6 linked regions of the Rattus norvegicus genome follow. The protein of the gene in region 3 purifies or fractionates together with the protein of the main gene of each other region. This does not show direct contact. Links are inferred from orthologs where the notes say so. Each region holds a gene or a part of one and is shown on either strand. Other genes may lie near its edges.

The links.
Region 1: the proteins of Wdr76 (region 3) and Camk2d purify together in Homo sapiens (affinity purification with mass spectrometry; 3 studies listed by BioGRID and IntAct, counting the BioPlex papers as one, with this or other methods). This does not show direct contact. The link is inferred for Rattus norvegicus from reciprocal best matches to the Homo sapiens genes WDR76 and CAMK2D.
Region 2: the proteins of Wdr76 (region 3) and Numa1 purify together in Homo sapiens (affinity purification with mass spectrometry; 3 studies listed by BioGRID and IntAct, with this or other methods). This does not show direct contact. The link is inferred for Rattus norvegicus from reciprocal best matches to the Homo sapiens genes WDR76 and NUMA1.
Region 4: the proteins of Wdr76 (region 3) and Hells purify together in Homo sapiens (affinity purification with mass spectrometry; 4 studies listed by BioGRID and IntAct, counting the BioPlex papers as one, with this or other methods). This does not show direct contact. The link is inferred for Rattus norvegicus from reciprocal best matches to the Homo sapiens genes WDR76 and HELLS.
Region 5: the proteins of Wdr76 (region 3) and Xpc purify together in Homo sapiens (affinity purification with mass spectrometry; 3 studies listed by BioGRID and IntAct, with this or other methods). This does not show direct contact. The link is inferred for Rattus norvegicus from reciprocal best matches to the Homo sapiens genes WDR76 and XPC.
Region 6: the proteins of Wdr76 (region 3) and Dnaja2 purify together in Homo sapiens (affinity purification with mass spectrometry; 3 studies listed by BioGRID and IntAct, with this or other methods). This does not show direct contact. The link is inferred for Rattus norvegicus from reciprocal best matches to the Homo sapiens genes WDR76 and DNAJA2.

Annotation. Positions count from the first base shown.
Region 1 is NC_086020.1:217,697,256-217,701,350, forward strand, and holds the start of Camk2d (calcium/calmodulin-dependent protein kinase type II subunit delta), read left to right. Parts: upstream 1-1,295; 5' UTR 1,296-1,517; coding exon 1,518-1,582; intron 1,583-3,162; coding exon 3,163-3,257; intron 3,258-4,095. UniProt on the Homo sapiens protein: Calcium/calmodulin-dependent protein kinase involved in the regulation of Ca(2+) homeostatis and excitation-contraction coupling (ECC) in heart by targeting ion channels, transporters and accessory proteins involved in Ca(2+) influx into the myocyte, Ca(2+) release from the sarcoplasmic reticulum (SR), SR Ca(2+) uptake and Na(+) and K(+) channel transport.
Region 2 is NC_086019.1:165,769,252-165,772,751, forward strand, and holds part of Numa1 (nuclear mitotic apparatus protein 1), read left to right. Parts: coding exon 1-1,156; intron 1,157-1,779; coding exon of another isoform or gene 1,780-1,821; intron 1,822-3,500. UniProt on the Homo sapiens protein: Microtubule (MT)-binding protein that plays a role in the formation and maintenance of the spindle poles and the alignement and the segregation of chromosomes during mitotic cell division.
Region 3 is NC_086021.1:128,909,182-128,913,312, forward strand, and holds the start of Wdr76 (WD repeat-containing protein 76), read left to right. Parts: upstream 1-1,331; 5' UTR 1,332-4,131. UniProt on the Homo sapiens protein: Specifically binds 5-hydroxymethylcytosine (5hmC), suggesting that it acts as a specific reader of 5hmC.
Region 4 is NC_086019.1:246,148,629-246,152,128, forward strand, and holds part of Hells (lymphoid-specific helicase), read left to right. Parts: intron 1-533; coding exon 534-650; intron 651-1,165; coding exon 1,166-1,325; intron 1,326-3,500. UniProt on the Homo sapiens protein: Plays an essential role in normal development and survival. Involved in regulation of the expansion or survival of lymphoid cells. Required for de novo or maintenance DNA methylation. May control silencing of the imprinted CDKN1C gene through DNA methylation.
Region 5 is NC_086022.1:125,554,085-125,557,584, reverse strand, and holds part of Xpc (DNA repair protein complementing XP-C cells), read left to right. Parts: intron 1-3,024; coding exon 3,025-3,159; intron 3,160-3,256; coding exon 3,257-3,426; intron 3,427-3,500. UniProt on the Homo sapiens protein: Involved in global genome nucleotide excision repair (GG-NER) by acting as damage sensing and DNA-binding factor component of the XPC complex. Has only a low DNA repair activity by itself which is stimulated by RAD23B and RAD23A.
Region 6 is NC_086037.1:37,669,600-37,673,818, forward strand, and holds the start of Dnaja2 (dnaJ homolog subfamily A member 2), read left to right. Parts: upstream 1-1,419; 5' UTR 1,420-1,439; coding exon 1,440-1,517; intron 1,518-2,708; coding exon 2,709-2,768; intron 2,769-3,399; coding exon 3,400-3,623; intron 3,624-4,219. UniProt on the Homo sapiens protein: Co-chaperone of Hsc70. Stimulates ATP hydrolysis and the folding of unfolded proteins mediated by HSPA1A/B (in vitro).

The sequences.
Region 1 (4,095 bases), on a different chromosome or scaffold from region 3:
TGCCTCGTTTATTAAAGACTGGGAACTGGAAAGAAGGCCCCGAAGTGATCTTAGCAGCCAGTTACAACTTACCTACCTTACATGCTAATTTTTTTCTCCATGCTCACTTTTAAGCAACTGTGTCACATATGTTTAATTGTAGGCCACGCTCTTGAACTCTTAAATGGTTTTTCAGATAGCCCTTGAGGGAGTACATTCCTGTGCCCCTACCTGACCAGCTCTTTGAGACTGCAAGCAAAGAACTTGTGACCTCCCTCTCCCTTTCCTTCTCCCTCTGCAAAGAGAAACAGGCTAGACACGCTCACGTGACGCTAATGACGTCAGCCCCATTCTGGGTCGCGTGACCCGCAGCCAACCTTCCTAACGCCCCACCCCCTTGCCACCAACAGTGGGACATCTCGCGAGAGCCCTTCTTACTATCAGAACTTGCTGAGGTTACAGGGGAGTTACTCTGGAGAGGAAGGAAGGTGTGGCAGCGTGGTGCACTTCTTGCTTTCATTATGTTAGGCTTTATGGCCAAGCAAATGCTTTTGGGGATCGCCCTAGTTGGGAAAACAACGGGAGAGGAGGGCGAAGAGGTGAAAGTAAAAACTGAATCGAAACGTGGTGCCCTGACCATCCTTGCTCCTAGCTAAGGGACGGCCAGGCGAAGCAGAGGTGGCCAGGGCTGGCAGCCCCCGGTAGTCACTGTGAGCCGGGAGACGTAGGGCTGGGGTCTGGGAGCAGTAAACACGAACCGCGCCCAGATGCAAGGGTTGCATCCCGCTCTCGGTTTCCCCGGCATCACGGCCATCACTGCCGGGGTAGAGACATCCCGGGTGTGGGAGCTGCGAGTTGTCCCTCATCTTTCCGTCCCTTCGTGGGTCACTGCGACATCTCTGTCCCGTCCCCTTAAGCGCGCTCCCCGGGGCTCTGCACATCTCCTCCCTCCGGTCTCCTTAGACGGCTGCGGGAGAGCAGCCCGGAGGGACGCGGCTGGAGTCGCTAGAGGGAGGTGTGGGGCTGGCGAGGAGGGGGCTTCGCTGGGCGGGGAGAGGCGGGAGGAGGCGCCGGGGAGGAGCCGCGGCTGCCAGATTCGCCTGAGCCGAGTGAGCGCACTCTGTCGCCCGCAGGTTCCCAGCCTTGCGGCCCCGTGGGGAGAGAGCGCAGGCCACCAGCGCCGCCTCCGCCCGCAGGAGCGACCCCTTGGGTGTTCACTCTTGGCCACTGCCGCCCGCCACCCCGGGCGCTACGTTGAGCTCTCCGTGCGGCCTCGGTGACCGCGGCAGCCCCTCCTGACACCTCCCCCCCGCCCCTTCGGGAGCGCTCGCCCGGCGGGAGGAGGAGGAAGAAGGATCGCGGCTCGGGCTGGTCTGGCCACCTCGCCCCGCGCGCCCCGCCCCTGCGCGCACTCCCTCGCCGGCGAGCTACTTTCGGACAAGGAAAGTGAGGGCGGCCCCGGGTGACAGCGCGGCGGTGCCAGTCCCGGGAAGCCGCGTCTGTTCGCGTGTCGCCCGTCGCACTGTCCAGACCCCGCCATGGCTTCGACCACCACCTGCACCCGGTTCACCGACGAGTATCAGCTCTTCGAGGAGCTCGGAAAGTAAGCGTCCCTGCCTGGCACCTCCTCCCCGCGACCCCTCGTCTCCCCCGTGGGGACAGGGAGCCCGCGGGCCGAGGCGGGGTGACGGACCATGGCTTGGTGCGGGTGGGGCACAGTGGGGAGAAACCTTTGCCCTAGTGTGGCGGGTGCCCCGAATCCCCAGCTCATCTCCTCGGGTCCTCCACCTCTCCACTGGAGACTTAGTGAATTTACGATCTCTGCAGTTGTAGCTGTCATCCTGAGAAGTGTGCGCGCACGCGAGTGTGAATGTGTGTGTGTGTTCGGGGAGGAAAGGAGATTGCATGTAAAATGCAACATTTATCACCTTTTCTGTAGATGTCTTTTGCTCAGCCCGCGGTGTATCTGCGGTCTGATACAGGTTAGGATGAGCTAATGAGCATTAGTTCTCAGAGATGGTGCCTTGTTTATCGATGCCGAAAGTTCAACTTGGTTTGGTGGAGAGTCTGGTTCGGCATCCAAAGTAGTTGTTCCGTCCAGGAAAAGGCCACCCAACAGAACCCACGTCCCTGCCCTGTATCCGCTATCCTTCTTTGCACTAAGGTGACTCGCTCACCATCATTCTAGGATTTACGTGTACCTCGGTTCTGAGAGGATTTATTTATCTAGGCAGAGAGAAAAGCCCTGGAGCCCGAGAGAGCGCTTCCCCAGGGTAGCCTAGCCTTTGAAAAAGGACCTCCTCCACCGAAGTGCCAGAAGTACTTTGAGATGTTAAAGAGGGACTGGGTACCTACTGAAGATCGTACAGGGACAACCAGAGACCCAGTCGGGAGTGTTGGTAACAAGCATCAAATCCCAAACCAGTCCTTCTATCGCTAATTTCCACTATCAGGGAAAGGATGCATTTGTGTGTGTGTGTGTGTGTGTGTGTGTGTGTGTGTGTGTGTGTGTGTGTTGTAGGTTTTTAGTACAGTTGCATACAAGGAAGTGTGAGCATTTTTTAAATCAAACGAAAATGATATCTTTATAGATGATCAGCTGTTGAAACATGCAGACATGTCGGGAGAGCAGCTTAATTCAAATCTCTCCCCTCCCCCAGCCCAAACCAGGCAGAGAGAAATCACCTTAGCCCAGGACCTGTTAAAGCACACCAGTGAGCTCGAGATTTATGTTTTAATGAAAACAATCGCCATATTTACTTCACTTGGAACCACGTTAATTGTGTTTTCTACCGAAATAAACATGCAGCAGTTTTTTTTTTCTTCTGTTCCCGGTCTCTGCTTTTTGCAGGGTTTGCCATGAGCATTTGGTGTTTTATGAGTGTGAATTATAAATTGTTTTCAAATTTCATGTGCAAACAAGAGTGGTTATAATTGGCATGTCCTTCTATTTTGTTGATTAATAATCTGTTTGTTTCCAGTCAATTAAAAATTACTTTTATTCCACAACATTAGAAAGGATCTGGTTCGGCAGGGAAGATTCGTTCATTTCCTAGATGATGCTTTTTTATTATATTGATACTTGACAGATCGCTAAAGACTCATCAAACTGCTCAGATTTGTGAGTTTGCAAGTGGATACTGGATCTGATTATACTGATGATTGCTAATTACTGCTTTCCAGGGGGGCATTCTCAGTGGTGAGAAGATGCATGAAAATCCCTACTGGACAAGAGTATGCTGCCAAAATTATCAACACCAAAAAGCTTTCTGCTAGGGGTGGGTATTTTAAACCGCACTTATTTATATATGTTAATTTCGTATTTGCTGTGTGAGTCGTTGGTGTCTTTCTTTAACTATAGCATGGAATTATAATTGAATTTTAGACTTAGGCATCATATTACATGCTCATCTTTGCCAAAGGCCTCGTGGTCTGTTTACTTTGTGAGTTAAGTGAAAGATATAATTGTTATCAATGAGTTATCGAAATGCAGTAATATAATAAATGTGTTGCAAAGCAAATAAATGTCATGAGGGGCCTTGCTGAGATCCTTTCAGAAGGATCTTAGGTTGAAAAAAAAAAAGGCAAGTCTCCTAACTGTCATAATTGCCTTTCACTTTTGAGACAAAAAAAAAAAAATGGGTCATGGTTCAGTTGAATGTATATCACAGGTGTAGTTACAGCTGAACGTAATACATCGAGGTATATTTAACTTCAGTGGCCTTGGGAAGTGGGGAGAGATGGTTGTTGTAATCTAGGAAGTTACCTTGGTTTTGCTATGTGTACGCTAGGCCTTTTCTTGGTCTCCTGAATTCAACTTCCCACCAGATCATGCACTCTATTGTAAACCTTCAGCTTACAGCCACACAGATACTTCATCCTGAAGGCTGTTGACATAAGTTACAACAACAACACGGAGCCCACATTATGTGCCCACATTATGATGACTGCGATTATGATTATTTTGTCTAGAATCAAACAAAATAACATATGCCGAGATTCTGGCATTGCACTGACTGAGGTGTCTACGGCATTTCCGAGGGAATTTATGGTTTGATGGAATTAAACTGGAATCAAAAGAAACAGAATACCATAGTGCAGACCCATCTCAGTGAC
Region 2 (3,500 bases), on a different chromosome or scaffold from region 3:
GTCCGAGCGTGCTTGCCGGGCTGAGCAAGACAAAGCCCTGGAGACACTGCAGGGCCAGTTAGAGGAGAAGGCTCGAGAGCTGGGGCATAATCAGGCTGCCTCAGCCTCAGCTCAAAGAGAGTTGCAAGCCCTCCGTGCCAAAGCCCAGGACCACAGCAAAGCTGAGGAAGAGTGGAAGGCCCAGGTAGCCCGTGGCCAGCAGGAAGCTGAGAGAAAGAGCAGTCTTATCAGCAGCTTGGAAGAGGAGGTATCCATCCTGAATCGCCAAGTCCTAGAGAAGGAGGGAGAAAGCAAGGAGTTGAAGCGCCTGGTTGTAGCTGAGTCAGAGAAGAGCCAGAAGCTGGAAGAGCGGCTGCGCCTGCTTCAGGTAGAAACAGCCAGCAGCAGTGCCAGGGCAGCAGAACGCAGCTCAGCTCTACGGGAGGAGGTACAGAGCCTCCGAGAAGAGGTAGAGAAGCAGCGTGTAGTTTCTGAGAACTTGAGGCAGGAGCTGGCCTCACAAGCGGAGCGAGCTGAGGAATCGGGTCAAGAATTGAAGGCCTGGCAGGAGAAGTTTTTCCAGAAGGAGCAAGCGCTCTCTGCCCTGCAGCTGGAGCACACCAGCACACAGGCCCTGGTGAGTGAGCTGCTGCCTGCCAAGCACCTTTGTCAGCAGCTGCAAGCTGAGCAGGCAGCTGCCGAGAAGCGCTTCCGGGAGGAGATAGAGCAGAGCAAGCAGGCAGCTGGCGGGCTGCAGGCAGAGCTAATGCGGGCTCAACGGGAGCTTGGAGAGCTAGGATCTTTGCGGCAGAAGATTGTTGAGCAGGAGCGAGCAGCCCAGCAGCTGCGGGCAGAAAAGGCCAGCTATGCAGAGCAGTTGAGCATGCTGAAGAAGGCCCATGGCCTGCTGGCCGAGGAGAACCGGGGGCTGGGAGAACGGGCCAACCTGGGCCGGCAGTTTCTAGAAGTAGAGCTCGATCAAGCCCGGGAGAAGTATGTCCAGGAGCTGGCCGCTGTGCGCACTGATGCCGAGACCCACCTGGCTGAAATGCGGCAAGAAGCTCAGAGCACTAGCCGGGAGCTGGAGGTGATGACCGCCAAGTACGAAAGTGCCAAGGTGAAGGTCCTAGAGGAGAGGCAGAGGTTCCAAGAAGAGAGGCAGAAACTCACTGCCCAGGTAAGGTGTCCATGCTGTGTCCTCTGCATTCTGTAGCCCTCCCCTTGCCTCCACCCCAGATGGACACTGCCTACCTGCCTTCACTCATTGAGTAGCAGAGAAAGATAAGTAAGCAGTAGAATCCCGTTTGTCGGAAAGAGAATGCTATGACAGCGAGTGGTGGTGCATGCCTGTAGTCCCAGCACGTAGGAGGCTAAGTCAGGAGGAGGATCATGAGTTTGAGGCCGCTTATGGGTTGCATAGTTAGATCCTGTTTGAACTTCCACAGTCACCCCCCCACCCTCCAACAGACGATGTCTATGGCCCCCTTTTCTTTGAGAGCTGAATCTAAAGAGTCAGGTTGACTACCCTTTTGTTTCTTTGGTGTTTTAAAACAGGATCTAATGTAACTCAGGCTAACCTTGAACTCACCATATAAGTAAAGATGGCCTTGCACTCTTGATCTTCCTGCCTTCACCTCCCACGTGTTGGGATCACAGGCCCCTGTGTCCTGTTACCTGATTCCAGCTGGCCTGCCCCCATGTCCCCCCTCTCCCTTCTATGGGGGAAGTCTCAGAGCCCGAGTGAGGTCAGTCTGGCAGTGGCTGCATCTCACTGTCTCCATTGCTTCTCCCCCTGCACAGGTGGAGCAACTAGAGGTATTTCACAGAGAGCAGACTAAGCAGGTAATGCCTGGGGTTCTGGATAAATGCTGGCTGCTTAAGCGGTGACCAGTCTCGGTGCATGACCCCGGCTGCAGCTTGCTCCGCCGGCTCCTCTTGTGAACTGTTTGTGAAAGGCAGGCCCAGGCTGCCCAGGAGTACAGTGTTAATCGGCCCTCTCTGGGGCCTCGTCCCATCCATCCCAGGTCGGCCTCTCCCCTCTGCCCTTCCTTTCACCTATCAGAAACAAGGGGTGGTATCGCTTCATCTTTCCTACACTATCCTGGCGACAAATTCAGTCCTTGTGGCACAAACCTCCAGTCCTGTTTTGAGTTAAGGAGACTTATCCAAGAGGAAGAGCAGGTTTATGTGGCTTTGTTTAGGTTATTTCCATTCTTCCCTCCGAGTTATCCAGGGTATGAAGATGACAAATGAGGCAGCCCTTGGAGGATAGGGAACCTGACCTGCTCAGAATGCTCAGCCAGTACACTCTGGAGCCTTACCCCAGAACCTCGCTCCCAGAGCTTTCTGGAACAGAAGTAGAAAGGGTCTTCCCCAGACGGCCCCTGTGGTCTCTCTGCCTTCATTCCTCTCAGGCCTCTCCGTCCTCCTACTTAATAGGTTAGAGAAATTTAGTGAGAACACTTTCTTTACCTCCCTCCCTCCCTCCCTCCCTCCCTCCCTCCCTCCCTCCCTCCCTCCCTCCCTCCCTCTCCCCTCTCTCTCAGATTTATTTATTATGTAAACAGTGATCTGCCTGCATATATACCTGCAGGCCAGAAGAGGACACTAGATCTCATTACAGAGGGTTGTGAGCCACAATGTGGTTAAACGCAGGGTCTCTGGAAGAGCAGTCAGTGCCCTTAAGCTCTGAGCCGTCTCTCCAGCCCCAGAACACCCTCTCCTTTCTAGCCACTATAGACATTCTAAAAAAAAAAAGTGGGATAATCAAATTGGAAAGCAAGCAGTTAGCAATGGAGCCTTTTGCCTCTTCCTTTGCTGCCTGTTCATGCCTAAGCTCCCATAATGCCTGGAGGAAACATGGCTGCTTTTGGCTGTTAGGATCCCTATGCTCTTTGGTAGTTGAGGGAGGGGCTTGGGAGTATGTGCTGCCCTGCTCTTGTCTTCAGCATTCTTTTCTCCCAGTGCTAACTGCAGTGGCCATGCTGCTAGCATCTCTAACCCCTTGGAGAGTGGAAAGAGGTCTGGGGGCTTTGCTTTGGTTATTTTCGGGGAGGAGGGAGCAATGAATGTACTTTGACAATGTCTGTTAGCACCAGAGTGGGAGTCTTGTTTCTATTTTGTTTTTAATTCTTTGCGTATGAGTGTTTGCCTATATAGGTATATACACATTCTATGCATGCCTGCTGCCTGCAGGGACCAGAAGGGGATGTTAGGTCCCCTGGAACTGGAGTGATAGTTCATTTTGAGCTGGCATGTGGGAGCTGGGAACCAAACCTGGGTCTTCTACAAGAACTTGTAGAACTTTTTTTTTTTTTTTTTTTTCCGGAGCTGGGGAAACTTGAACTTATAACCACTTACTCATCTCTCCAACCCCATAGCTGTTCTGTCCTTGCCTCAACTTTTCCAGGTTGGGTGTGGGAGCAGAGAACACAGTCAGATGTGTAGAGATGCCCACTCTGAAGGGTCAGGCATTTAATTTGGTGGCAGAGACTTCAGCTGGAATGAGTTTGGTCAGGTGA
Region 3 (4,131 bases):
TCAACCATCAAGCCTCAAAGATCCTCCCTCGTCTCTTCACCCCTCAAGGTTCTCTACGTACGGATGTTAGGGGTATGAACTCAGGCACAGTAAGGGGAGCTATCTTCCTAGCTTCTCCCTCTGAGATGCTATGGCAGCCTTTACAACATAACTTAACAACCTAACTTGACCGGTTTCTACCTTCTTTCCCTCTAGCTTTGTGCTGAATCAGATGATCTCTTCTAAAACACAAACAAATTGGCACTCAAGAGGTGGTTCAGCAGCTAAGAGGACCTGCTGCTCATGCAGAGGGCCTGGATGAATTTCCCAGCATCTACATGGCAGTCTATAACAGTCTGATACTCCAGTTCCAGAGGATTCCATGCTCTCTTCTGGCCCCTATGGGGATTGCATCCACACGGTGCACATCCATCCATGCAAGCAAAACATTCATACACTTAAAAATAAACAAAACAAACAATTCCAGTGAACAGAAAGATTATACAAACGATTCAAATTATTTCATAAACCGAGGAAACCCTTTTAATCAAACTGGGCGAAGCAAAGTTAGCTTTTGGCTATAACACACACCCCCCTCTAGTTCACTTTCTTCTTATATTTTCATTTTTGTTACTGTTCTGGTTGTGAGCTTGGCCTTTAACGGCTGAGTCATATCTGTAGCCCTATTTTTATTATTATTTGCAACGATTCTGTCTGTGGATATGTGCACAAATGTACGTACTGGCAGAGGCCAGATCTCCCAAAACTTGGGGTTACGGGTGGTTGTTGAGTCGCCTGATGTGGGTGTTGGCAATTGAATTTGGGTCCTCTGGTAGAGGAGTATGTCCTCTTAACCGCTGAGCCATCTCTCCAGCCTTCTTAACTTTTAATTCGAGAGAGGATCTCACGAAATCGATCAGATATGTGCAAGTGGATCCCGCTTCCCCCAATCTCTAACTATGCCACGTGCGAATTTAGGTGGAAGGCAGGAAGAAAAGTTAGGTTTAATGGTCAGCCAAGCTGGTATGGTCGGCCTAAGGCAGGTTTCTGAGATACTGAGGATGAATGAGGTAAGATCCGACCAGAGGGGAGCCACACTTACCTTTCTCATTGCGAACTGGGACGGCCCCAGCCGTAGACTGAATGGGCGGCTGCTTCATGAGTGCGCTTGGGACCGACATGGTGACGGCTGCCGCAGAGATTCTGTAAAACGGATTGAATCTCAACAACGAAGAGCAAGAAACAAAATACCGCTTCCCACCAAGCTTTGCCCTACACTACTGCGCGACTGACAGAAACAACTTCCGGCAGCGGTAGAGGAACCGGAAGTACGTAACAGGGGATTGTGGGAAATTGGAGGAACGCTAAGCGGGCCGCTTAAAGGGCCAGACTAAAATTTGCGCGTCTTCGTAGGCAACTTTCCCGCCTTCAAGCGTTCAAGATTTGGAAGATCCTTCTGGCTGACAGTTGCTTTTTTTGGGTTTTGGTAAGGTCCTGGAAGGTTCGGATTAAAGCTTTTATTTATTATGTTTTGAAGAAACCGAGCAGATTACGGAGGGTTGTTTGTGCATATTGTTGAAAACTCCGAAGTGTAGAGTTTGATCCGCATAAATTGGTCACACTTGTAATCCCAACATTTGGGAGGGTGAAACAGCATTGCCGCGTTTTGAAGGCCAACCCGGGCGACAGGATAAGACCCTGCCTCAAAAAAAAAAAAAAAAAAAAAAAGAGAAAATCCCGTAGGGACCACACACTCCTTTAATTCTAGCACTGGGAAGACTGAGGCAAGTGGATCTCTGAAATTGAAGCTAGTCGGTCTACACAGTGAAATATCCGGGAATAAAATATTATATAGGACTTTGAAGGCGCTAATAATATAATTATTAAATTATTTCCCTCGGGTCCTTGATGGGTGAAGACAGGAAATTGACAATCTTTAAGAAGTAAGAGTTTTCAATGAACGAAACAAGGACGACGCTTACCTGGGACATATCCTCTCTTTATCTTTGTATAAACACATCACTTTCAACCAGAAAACCTTAAAAGGCTAAAGTAGACAGAAATCTTCTTTTCCCGTTGTATTTTATATTGAAGCTGTGTTGTCTAGGCAGGTTGGCTTGTTTGCTTTTGCCTCTAAGTTGGTGGTTGTTCATTTATTTCCTGAGTAGTTAGGATTCTCCATAGGTGTGCCTCTTCACTGGACGTGAAACTTTATATTACGAACTCATCAGCCTAAAAAGTGATGTTGCTGAGCCGCAGGGGCAGTTCAGCTGTAGAGCGCTTGCCTGTTTTGAGGACGGCTTAGCTTGGAGTAGGGAATTCTGTGGAGAGTAAGTGTGTTGGGGAGAGAGCTGTTTTCATTTATGGCAACTCAAGATGGTGCTAGGAAAAGGCTTTTCTTAAAAAGTCCCGACTTTATGAAAGACAGCATGAGAAAATCTTATTTGGTAATGCCCGTATTCTGAGGTTTTTAGGGCCCCCCCCCCCCCCCCCCCCCGAGCTATAGAGTCATATGTATCCCAATCTAGCCTCTAACTCTCAAAGTAAGAGAAGAGAATCTGGAAGTTCTGATCCTCCTGTGTTCGATTGCTTAGAGCTGAGATTACAGGTGTGGGTCTCCATGCTTGGTTTTACGTGATGCTGGGGATAGAATCCAGGGTCTTCGTGCATTCTAGGTAGACATTCTACTGAGCTACATTCCCAATCTGTGGTTTAGCTTTTGAAGTCCTCTTCTGCCACTGCCCACAAAGGTCTGTTGTAGCCCAGACTGACTGAATTGCTCCTTGCTACCATCTCTGTTACACCAGGCCTTTATCATCACTGGCCATCTGCAGGTTTTCTCTACTTAAAAACAGGTGGACTGAGGGTCAGCACTTAGAAACCAAGTAACACGAAATGCTTACTTTTTTTTTTTTCTTTAACTGCCCTCTTTCGGTGACAGGGGTTCATATAATACAGGTTCCCCTTGAACTGCCTGTATAGCTGATGACGATGACTTTGGATTCCCGATCCACCTGCCTCCACCGCCCAAGTCTGGGGTGACAGGTGTGGACCATCATGCTTAATTGCTCCCCCTTATTACAACTTAAAAATATACAGTCGTGGTCAGGAGTGATTTTTTAGTAGTGATATTGCAAGAAAGTGGGCAGAAATAAAGGCCCACTTTGTGTTTGTGTGCACTCGGGGTGAGTGGGGTGGGTGTGACTCTGTTCTCATATGAAGATCAGAGGACAACAGTGAGAAATAGCCCTTATGTAGGCTCTGGGAGTAAAATAAAGATACTAGGCTGGGTGGCGAGCACCCTTACCTGCTGCATCATCTCCCTTGGTTTTGACAGAGTGTCTCCTGGACCTGGGACTTTGTGTTTAGGTTCGTTTGTTTAGCCACGGAGCCACAGAACTCCACTTGTCTTGCATCGCCTGTGCTGGGATTATAAGCCCAGCTTTTTAATTTGGATGCTGGGTCAAACACAGGTCAAATGCAAGCACCTTACCAACTGTGTCATTTCTTTCAAGCTCTGCCTATTGATTTTTCTGTTGTTTGTCTTCCAGTCCTTATGGGATTTATGAGGGTATGGCTCTCTTCCAGGGGTCATGCTGCAAAGCGGCGGTATTTTTTTTTTTTTAAAGCAAGATCTCGAGTGTAGTGAGCCATATTGGATTTGGGCCTGGCCGCTTTGTAACTGTATGGTCACAGTTAAGAAGTCAAGGGATTGTTGGACAGAGGCCTCTCCCATGTACTGGAAGAAAAGACCAAGTAGTAAACACCCGGTGTCTCCACTGCATGACCTCTGCTGAGCCCGGCTGATGCATGTGGAACTGACACACCTGGACCACACCTGGGTGGTGGTCAATTTACTTCTGCCTTTTGCTTCCTCAGCCTTTATCCTTGAGATTTAGGCTGGTCTTCTCGGATTTCTCCCTAATTAATTCAGGTCTCGTAGTCACGAGCCAGGGTTTCCCACTGTGCTTCCCAGTTATTTTCTACCTGGAGACTTGGGTATATAAGTGGTGAATAAAGCTACAGGAGTCTCTCACTCTTCTTTCCTCTCTCTCTCTCTCTCTCTCTCTCTCTCTCTCTCTCTCTCTCTCTCTCTCTCTCTCTCTCTCTCTCTCTCTCTCTCTCTCTTCCTCTTCCTCTCCTGGCTTGACA
Region 4 (3,500 bases), on a different chromosome or scaffold from region 3:
TATGTGCATACCCCAAGGTAAAGAAGACATTCAATATCATCTTTCTTTGTTCTCCATCATGTCTTAGAGACAGCGTGTCTTACTGAACCTAGAACTCATTAATTAGGCTGGCTGGCTGGCTAGTGATCTCCAGGGATTAGCCTGTCTCTGCCATTTCAGTCTCTTCCACCAGCTCTGCATTAGTGAGCAGGGCGCCACTTAGTCTCTTCATGGGTGCCAGGGATCTGAACTGAGAGTCTTTTGCTTATATGGCAGGTACTTTACTGACTGAGCCATCTATTAAACTAGTTTTGTCTGTTTTTTGATACTGGATGCGATATGTACCTTTAACAAAATAAAAATATCTTGCATAATGTAAATGTTTGAAAAGCAGTGTTTATGTAAACAGAGTGTTTATTAGCTAATATAATTGTTTCCTAGCTCTGTTGGAAAAGACTTTTAATAGTGATATTTAAAAATAATGCCTCCCCACCCATGTTTAAATTTCTTTTTTTTTTTATATTTTTTTGTTTTTATGTTTCTTTTGCATTTAGATATACAGTTTCAACACGGATCCAGAGGTTTTTCTTTTCTTAGTGAGTACACGAGCTGGTGGCTTAGGCATTAATTTGACTGCAGCAGATACAGTGATCATTTATGACAGTGATTGGGTAAGAAGTACGGCAATATGCTGACTATATTTCTGTTCTGAAAATGTTATTGTTTACTTTGTACCTACTGAAATTTCATTCATCTATTTTGAAAAGTGCCTCTTTGCAGGAAGGAATTCATCAAGTTTTCTATGGATAAAAACTTAGGACATTTTTAGAGTATTTAAACCACTTTAAGTTACTGTGTGTGTGTCTGTCTGTCTGTCTCATGTAGAGGTCAGAGGACAGTCTGGGGGAGTTGGTTCTCTTTACCATGTGGGTTCTGGGGATTAAATTCAAGTGGTCAGGCTTTCTGGCAGATATCTTTACCCTCTGAACCATCTCAGTGGCCCCCATGGGAGCATTTAAGTAGAAAACTTTACAATTGTTACGTGAGAGTTGGAATTTATACAACAATTCTGGAAGTTTAAATGAATCTAAGAACCATTTCTCACCAGATAGTGTACATGATTATTTTTTAACATTTTTTTAGGTTTAACAATTCTGCTAACTGTACATTTCTTTTCAACTTTAAGAATCCTCAGTCTGATCTCCAGGCCCAAGATAGATGTCATAGAATTGGTCAGACAAAGCCAGTTGTTGTCTATCGCCTCGTGACAGCAAATACTATTGACCAGAAAATTGTGGAAAGAGCAGCTGCTAAAAGAAAGTTGGAGAAGCTGATAATCCATAAAAGTAAGTGATTTTTAATTTGCTTAAAATAGTGTATTTATTTTATTATATTTTATGTATATAAAATGTTATGTATATATTATATTTTATGTATAGTTGCCTGCATGTATGTCTTTCATGTACAAGCCTAGTGATCAGGGAGGCCAGAAGAGGATTTTGGGTTAGTAAATTCGTCCTTCCACTTGTCCTTCCACTCGAAGGCTTCTCTGTCTACTGGAGGTGAAATCTTCAAGTTCTCTCTTCTCATTGTTGGGAATTTTGGCTAAGGTCACCCCATTGAGTCCTGAAGGTCTCTCACCTCCTGGGTCTCTAGTACTGTCCAGAGGGTCTTCCCTCTACCTCCCACCCCCAAGGCTGCATATTTCTATTCTCCTGGCCCTCTGGGCTTCTTTCTTGTCCCCATCCCCCCATACCTGATCCTGTTCCTCTTCTCCCCCTCCTCTCTACCACCCAGGTTGGTTCTTCCCTCCCTCCCTCCCTCCCTTCCTCCCTCTGTCTGTTGGTCCTTCCCTCCCTCCCTCCTTCCTTCCCTCCCTCTAGTTCCCATGATTATTTTCTTTCCTCTTCTAAGTCGGATTGAAACATCCTCATTTGGTTATTTCTGCTTGTTATACTTACTATTGTCTGCGGGATTTTATTCCTAGGTATTCTGTACTTTTTGTCTGTTATCATTATCATACCACTTATCATTGAGTATATACCATGTGTGTCCTTTTGGGTCTGTGTTACCTCTCAGGATGATATTTCCTAGTTCCATCCATTTGTCTGCAAAATTCATAATGTCCTTGTTTTTGATAGCTGAATAGTATTCCAATGTGTAAATGAACCACATTTTTTTGTATCTATTCTTCGCTTGAGGGACATCTTTGTGTCCCATAAGTTTGTGTATGTTGTATGTTCATTTTCATTAATTCTATAAAGTCTTTGATTTCTTTATTTCTTCCCTGACCAAGTTATCATTGAGCAGAGAGTTGTTCAGTTTACATGAGTGTGTGGCCTTTCTCTTGCTTTCTTGTTACTAAAGTTCAGCCTTAGTCCGTGGTGATATGATAGGATGCATGGGATTATTTCAATCTTATATCCATTGAGTCTTGTTTTGTGTCTGATTATACTGTTAGTTTTGGAGAAGGTTCCATGAGGTGCTGAGAAGAAGCTATATTCTTTTGTTTTAGGATGAAATGTTCTATAGATAATCAGTTAAATCCATTTGATTCATAACTTTTCTTAGTTTCACTGTGTCTGTTTAGTGTTTAGTTTCTTTTTCCACATTCTGTCCATTGGTGAGGGTGGGATGTTGAAGTCTCTCACTATTTATTGTGAAAGGTTCAATGTGTTTTGAACTTTAGTATGTTTCTTTTATGAGATGTTAGTGCCCTTGGGCATAGATGTTCATAATTGAGACTCTCTCTTGGTTGATTTTTCCTTTGATGAGTATGTAGTGTCCTTCCCCTTCTTTTTTAATAACTTTTGGTCGAAAGTCTATCATTGGATATCAGAATGGCTACTCCCACTTGTTTCTTGGGACCGTTTGCTTCAAAAACTTTTTTCCAGCCTTTTACTCTGTTTGTCATTGAGGTGTGTTTTTTGATGCAGTAAAATGCTGAATCCTGCTTGCATTTCCAGTCTGTTTAGTTTATGTCTTTTTACTGGGGAATGAAGTCTGTTGATACCTGAGAAATTAAAGACAGATGATTGTTAGTTTCTTGTTGTTTGTGGTAGATATGTCTGATTCTCTCCTTTGGGATTTGTCGTGAGATGATTTCTTGTTTTTTTCTTTGGTGTAGGTACCTTCCTTGTGTTGGAGTTTTTCTAGAATCCTCTGTACGTCTGGATGGATAGATAGATATTGCTTAAGTTTGGCTTTATTTTGGAATATTTTGGTCTCACCTGTGTCCCTGGTTACTTTGGCCCTCCTGGGAGGCAGACAGTCTGTATGGTGTCTCTCTGCAGTCCACTAATCTGACCAGGGTGGAGAAGAATACCCAAAGAGTAAAATGTCTTACTGATTTTCATAATCCTCTTCTGCCTGCAGATACTTCTTTATGGTGTCTGACTCATTTTTATTTTTAATTTTATAGTCATCGTGGATTTTACATGTGCCTTTACATGGGTTCTAGGCACTGAATTCAGATCTTTTAGCCTTTCATTGGCCCTCGTATCTGGTTTTGAGGGAAAAGT
Region 5 (3,500 bases), on a different chromosome or scaffold from region 3:
TGCATGCCCAGATAGAAGAAATAACCTGTTCTTTGCCTCCAGCAGGGTTTGAGGAGCTAAGCATTTAAATTTTTTATTAATAAGGCATGTATAGGAAATAAGTTTTCCAAATAAGAACTATAGGCCTGAAAGTAGCCTGAAGACTCATGCTATAAGCTCAAAGGCCAGCAGGTTAGAGCTGGGTTGCTGGGTTATTCTGAGGTTCAAGCCCTGCTTCATAAGAAACCTACTAGCCTGGTTGCCCTGCACACCAGTTCACCAAGCATTAGCTGCTGTGTTTCGGTGACCCTGGGAATCACTACCATAATGTCAGCCTTACAGATGAGAAGATTAGAGTTTGAACAGGATATGTCTTGCCAGGAGGCTTTGCAGTTAGTAACATCCTAGGCTCAGTAGGACTCACAGGCCCTCATCTCAGCTCTTGCCTCTGACTTTGACATCTTTAGGTTAGCTGCCTGTGAGAGCCATGAACTCAGCAAGATGTTCCAGACGTTTCTCTGGGCATTGGCTCAGTCACACAGGCAGAGCACAGTGGCCCTTACATACACGTACTGCTCTGTTGTCAGATGGAGGCGGAGCCCAGTGGGGCTGTAACTGGAGCTGTGGTGGGCCCTTAGCTAGTGGGAAGGGGTGGCAGGTCTCAGTAGTAGTGGCTGCCAGCAGTGGCTTAAGTGTATGGAGCTGCCTGCTGGGATCTGCCTAGACCTGCTCAATCTCAGACCAGTGTTGTCCAGGGATTATAGTTGAGTCGCACATTTAACATTTTTAGTATCCATTTCGTGAATTAGTAAAATTATTAATAAATACATAATTTATTATACAAAATTATTTTTAAACTTATTAAAGTTATAATAAAATTCTTAATAAATCAATAAACTAAATTTTATGTAGCTCCTATTTGTAATTCTGTGTTTGACTTTCAGTATCTCAGTTCAGACTAGATCCATGATTGCTCATGTAACACTCACTTCCTGAACGACTCCAGATTTCTCCTTTGTTCTGACCTCCAGCCTCCTGCCTCCTGCCTCAGTGTCTCTTCCTTGAGTAACAGTCACAGCCTCCTTCCTAGATCAAATGCATTCTCTGTATTAGTTCTGTGGCTCTTTCTGGAACACACTGGCCTCTGTGGTGATCTGGCTCTAGCCACCTATTACTTCAGGTAGTGGCCTCACGTGATCATGGTTAATGCTGTAGTACCTGCCTCCTCCTTTCTAGACCACCCCAGATGCAGCTGTTCTCCCTGTCCTGGCCCTAGATGCCCTTCTCTGCAGCTGTGTTCTGGTCAGCATTTCCCTGTCCCACTGATGTCTTGGCTTCTTTGTGGCCTGCTCCCATTCTTCCCTGCATTCCTTACCTCTCCCTACAGCCTGAGCTCTGTCCACAGGCACTGCCTCTTCCCCATGATTACTGTCCTGGCATGGAAGAGGTGCTCAGTGACTTCATTGAACACATGGATGGACTGTGGCCTAGTGTGCTTTCTGGTGCTGTGGTAGCCACCGTTACCAAAAGCAAGTCGGAGCAGGAAAGGGCTTTGGCCTACACTTCCAGGTCATAGTCCATCATCAAGGGAATTCAAGGCAGTAACTAAGGAGGAAGTATGCTCGCTGGCTTGCCGGGCTCGCTTACAACCCTGCCTGGGTGCGGGGCCCCAACAGTAGACTGGGCCCTCTCACATCAGTCTTTTTCAGATGGCCGCAGGCAAGGTTATCTGATCAAGGTAATTCTAAAGTTGAGGCTCTCTCTTCTTAGGCGACTCTAGGTTGTGTCAAGTTACAATAAAAACCTAACCAGAGCAAACAGCTTTAGGAGACTGTCAGACACGGAAGCCAGCTGAATCCACAGGCTAGCTGAGAGGTTATGCTAGAAGATTAGCCATCAGCTTGGGCCATACCAAGCCTGAGTCCCTTCGGTGGGTTCCTCATCTAAATAGTGATTTTCCAAACGCTTTTAAAAGGAAAAGAGTGAAAAGGGTGGGAGAGGCCACATGTAGTAAGCTCTTTACCAGCAGCTTTTGTTGACCTGACCCCTGCACCAGAGCAGCCTGTGTGCCCAGGTCCAGGCGCCATTCCTTAGCAGTTTCTTGTGCTGCCCGTCTGTGTTATGCAACCTCTGTTTGCCACTCCTCTCCTTCCACCCCTTAGCTTCCCAGGAAAACATGTAGGTCTTAACTGCTGTGCACTGCTTTCCACGGGTGACACTGGTGGATAGTGATTGATCACTCTACAGAGAGATGGGGGTTACCAGGATTAAAGCCTGGCTCTTCTCACCTATAAACCATGGTGCCTTAAGTAAGTCATGCCATCTCTGTCTCATGGTAATGGGTGTAGGAACTTAGGACAGAACTTAAAAGCCTTCGTGAGGGGTTGGGGATTTAGCTCAGTGGTAGAGTGCTTGCTTAGCAAGCTCAAGGCCCTGGGTTCGGTCCCCAGCTCCGAAAAAAAAGAAAAAGGAAAAAAAGGGGTTGGGGATTTGGCTCAATGGTAGAGCGCTTGCCTAGCAAGCACAAGGCCCTGGGTTCGGTCCCCAGCTCTGAAAAAAAGAAAAAGGAAAAAAAGGGGTTGGGGATTTGGCTCAGTGGTAGAGCGCTTGCCTAGCAAGCACAAGACCCTGGGTTCCGTCCCCAGCTCCGAAAAAAAAAAAAGAAAAAAAGAAAAAGAAAAAAAAAAAACCTTCGTGAGCTGTGACTTTGGGCACAGAATATCACGTGGGCTGCTCCTCTTGGGCTCATTGAGATTAGTGGTTATCTAAAGCATGGAGATGGAGGTCAGGCACGATGGCACACCGTGATCTCAGACTCAGGCTGAGGCAGGAGGATCAGGAGTTAGAGATCAGCCTGGGCTACAGAGCAAAATTCTGTTTCACCTCCCTCACTAAAAGAGAGTGAGAACCATATAATACCTACCCTGTGTGAGCTGGCTAGGGAAGGCCCACCTGTGTCAGATTGACAGCACTCAGTGCCTGGTGCAAGCTGAGTCCTGGAGCAAGAAGCATTTCTTATAACCCGCCCTGTTTCCTCTGGAGTAGATGGTGAAAGGTTTCTCTAACCGTGCCCGGAAAGCCCGGCTTTCGGAGCCCCAGCTGCATGACCACAATGACTTGGGCCTCTTTGGTCACTGGCAGACAGAAGAGTATCAACCTCCTGTGGCTGTAGACGGGAAGGTAAGGGCAGCTCTGGGGGTGGGGTGGGGTGGGGATCAGTATAGGCTGCCCAGTCTACCTGCCAGCTACTCTCTGGCACGCCCGTCTGTCTCTGCAGGTGCCCCGGAATGAGTTTGGGAACGTGTACCTCTTCCTGCCCAGCATGATGCCTATCGGCTGTGTCCAGATGAACCTACCCAACCTGCACCGCGTGGCCCGCAAGCTGGGCATCGACTGCGTGCAGGCCATCACTGGCTTCGATTTCCATGGAGGCTATTGCCACCCAGTGTGCGTGAGGGGCCTTTGGTGGCAGTTGGGGTGGCTGAGGTCCACATTTGACCATGGGTTTTAAAGTCAGTCTT
Region 6 (4,219 bases), on a different chromosome or scaffold from region 3:
TGAGCATCTGTTACCAGGGTTGTTTTGGCTGATCTGGGTGTGTAGGTGAAAGTTCCCTCTCCTCTTCATTGCTCCATGTATGTCTCTTCCTGAAACTGGATATTTGGTCAAAAAGGATGAGCTTCCCCAATAGAGAGAGGCTAATCTTTGGCCAAGGGTATAGAATAGCTGTGGTTCCCCTGCTAGGACCTTCTAATAAGTTCTTGATACCAGATACATAATCTGTATCCTATTAAAGAATTTTGACTCACATGTGAGAACAGCATTCATGTCATAAATCATACTTATCAGGAAAACGAGCATAGTGGGGCCTCAAATAAGACAGGAAGGTTTACTAGGTTATGAATCAAGGAGAACGTTACAGGTGAAGGGGCATTTTGAATGGTAGAAGGAGCATCTAACTTCTCTTAAGACTCCTCAGAGCTCTCAGGTTAAATTTCCTTAGCCCTTAACATGGCAGGGAAGGACCTCCACAACTTGGCCAGGAAGAATGACAAGAAAGGCATACCACCTCCATTGACAGACTTATGGTCAATGAGAAATTGTTTCCCAGTTCAGGTTTCAACTGACTAGAAGTGTTTTACTATCAGAAAACCAGTTAGAAGGCAAGCTGTGCATATTGGCACGTGGTAGAAGCACGGAAATCTTTTGAGCTAAAGCAAACGAAATCGACTGACAGCCACCAAGTGCCGGCCCGCAGCCATACTGCCTTATGCCAACCAAACCTTCGGCGTTAGCTAATTTTAAAGCTGTCAAGTGAGACACTTGAACACATGATCCCGGCGGAACAGGGTGACTTTGGTTTATCTGGATGCCCCCAAACCAACCGGGAATGTGTAAAAAGATTTTGTCCTCTCCTTCAATGTGACAGGATGGCTATGCCTTTAAAACCTCTTCTGCTAGGTGTAAATCTGAGTATTTATGAATGAAATTGTTTTCCCTACGCAGAGGTGCTGAGGGGGAAGTTAGGAGATGATATGAATTAGTGAAGGTGTTGATAAAATCACATTAGGGGTGTAATTCGCTATGTGGGAACCTCACACACTCACACCCACGTGCTGCTTTTCACCGCGGCCCCGGGGGTACCACCCTAGGAGGATTCCACGCCGGCTTCTTTCCCCTAGGCCTCAGCCGCAGCGAGAGTTCCTTACGAACGCCGTCATCCGCTTCCCTCCACTCCGCGGTCGCTCGCGCGTCGCCTACGGGCGTCAGGAAAGGACCCCACCTGCCGCACACCGTCGCCCACCGCCCAACCGCCCCGCCCCGTCCGGCCCCGGGGGAGGGGCCTTGTGGCAACGTCATGGCGCTGCGCCGGGTCAAAGTTCAGCCCCGCCCGCCTCCCCGCGCCGTCTCCTCGGCCTGCGCTGCCGCCGCTCGTGGTCCGGGTCGCGCTCCTTCCGCTCCGCCGCCTGCTTGCGAGTGCTGCCGGGCAGGCCGCCATGGCGAACGTGGCCGACACGAAGCTGTACGACATCCTGGGCGTCCCTCCCGGCGCCAGCGAGAACGAGCTGAAGAAGGTACTGGAGCGAGCCGGCCGGCGGGCGGGGCGAGGGCGCGGGGCCTGCGCGGTCGGGGCGGCCTGAACCGGGCTGAGGCGCGGTGGCGGCGGGGGCGCAGTCGGCTCTGGCTGACCTTGGGCCTCCGCCCGCCGGCCCTGCGCAGAAGCGGCCCGCCACCTCGGCGCCCCGGGCCACCCGGAAAAACAGGTCGAACCGCGGTGCTCGCGCCGCCGGGCCGGGGAGGAGCTGACCGCCGGCGCCGGTGTGGGGCTGAGGGCCGCAGCCTCCGGCGCTGAACAGGCTCCTCCCTCTGCCTTCCTCGCCGGGCAGCCGGAATAGCTTGGGTCTGTTTAGAAGCATTGTTCTTGGGCTGGAGCTCTAAATACCCCGTGGCCGCTTCAGGGATAAGTCGTCGTGTGTCCCAGCCAAACACCTGCGTGTGCACTCACTAAAAATAAGACAGGTCTCATTGTTGTCCTTTGTACAAAATCATCTCGGGACTTAAGCTATTAGTAAAGTCCGCATCTACTATGGCTGTCGGCATCAAATCTGTAAACTGAGAAAAATAAGAATGTCCCGTAAGTATTGGGACTGGTGAAGTCCAAAGAAAAAGACTTCCTGTTGCCCTACCGGAAATGGTAGGCTGTGTTATATAATTCATGAGTCTGTGTAAAGACTTACATGGTGCTTACCTACATCACTTAATTGAGAGTATGTAGCTTCACCACCAGGTAGGACCCCAGTTAGCCGGCCAAGTGCTAATAAAACATCACTTAGGACCGCCTGCTGTTTTCCTGTTGGAGGGCAGGCCGAGGAGCCAGCCAGCATGGGGAGAGATACTTAGTAGAAGTATCATTTGCTTAATTTGTAGGAGTGCTAGGGTTTCTGTAAAATGTAGCGCTCAATCTACAATCTGTTTATTGTGGTCTTTTTGGTCTGGTTACTGGTCATCAAAGATATTTGATAATATTTTTAAAAAAAAAAACAAGAAATAATGTTTCAGTCTCTTTTTCTTTGTTTTGTTTTGTTTGTATTTTTCCTCAGTAACTTGGGTTACATTATTAGCAAGGAAGCAGTACTGAAGTGGAAAACGTCAAATAGTGAGTGACAGTTTTGGAAGGCCATAACTTTAGAACATTGCTTCTCAGAAAAGTGAATTTCTTAAATTGTTCGCTGTGTATAACTCTCTTCCAAAATCTTTTTTTGAAGGCATACCGAAAGTTAGCCAAAGAATACCATCCTGATAAGAATCCAAATGCTGGAGATAAAGTAAGTTATTTGGAGTTTTATTGTTGGGGTTTTAGTTTTTTTTTTTTTTTTCCGGAGCTGGGGACCGAACCCAGGGCCTTGCGCTTCCTAGGTAAGCGCTCTACCACTGAGCTAAATCCCCAGCCCCGGGGTTTTAGTTTTAAACTGAAGTTGGAAATGTGTCCCTTAAAGAAATAAGGAGTGATGTAGGGAAAAGTTCATTTATGCCTACAGAGTGAAACTCTCAGTGTTATTTTAACTTACTTGAAAATGACCAGAGTAAAGCCTAATGCTTGTAATCTTCTTCAGAAATAAAAATTATATCTACTGAGATAGCTCAATTGTTACAAGTCTTTGCCACATGTAAGCCTGACCACCTGAGCTTGATCCACAGTGGAAGGAGAGAAAGTTGTCTTTTGATCTCCATACTCCCACACTCATGCATATACAATAATGATAATTACCTTCAGAGGACAATTTTAGTTTTACAATGAGAATTCTAAGATTTTTAGCAATAGGTAATAAAGAGGACCAAAAGGAAACCAACTCAGAGCTTTTTATTGGAGTTAGGTGGCTTCTCGTTTTTTGAAGTCTTTCTCACATTCTTGCACTTAAAAATCCAATTGTTTTCATTTTTTCTTTTACTTTATAGTTTAAAGAAATAAGTTTTGCCTATGAAGTATTGTCAAATCCAGAGAAGCGGGAGCTATATGACAGATATGGAGAACAAGGTCTACGGGAAGGCAGCGGCGGGGGTGGCGGCATGGATGATATTTTCTCACATATTTTTGGTGGAGGATTGTTTGGCTTCATGGGCAATCAAAGTAGAAGTCGAAATGGCAGAAGAAGAGGCGAGGACATGATGCATCCGCTGAAGTGAGTCTCTTAAAAATGCTTCCCCAGGTGGGGATGCTTACTACAGAGTATTTTGTTCTTTATTCTAACATTTGTGTTTTAAAATGTGTTCCTATTAAGTAACAAAGTGAATTACTTAATTGTATATATTTTGCTTCAGACCTTAAAGGGTGGAAGGGTGCTCTAGAAATGTAGGTCAGTTGGTAAAGTGCTTACCTCAGAGACACAAAGTTCTTCATTTAAGCAGGTTGGGTGGTCTTTACCTATAATTACAGCACTGGAGAGGCAGGGGCAAGAGGATCAGACTTGAAGGTCATATATTCTCAGCTGAGTAACTAGTTTGAGGCCAACCTGGGATACATAGACGCCTGTCTCAAAAACAAAACAACCAAGATCTTAAAGAATAGGTTTTTTTTTTAACTGATTTTTTTTTTCCTGTATGCTGTTGAGGTTGCCTGTTTATATGATTGAACATTTCAAGTGTGAATATTTTAAGGCAAAAGAATGGTTGGTTTCGATTATTTACAAGGAAAGGTCCCTCATTACTTGATCCTCAATGCTACCTCTCCTAAATTGGTTTCCATGGAGTTTACTGGCTTCCAGCCTGGCATAACTAA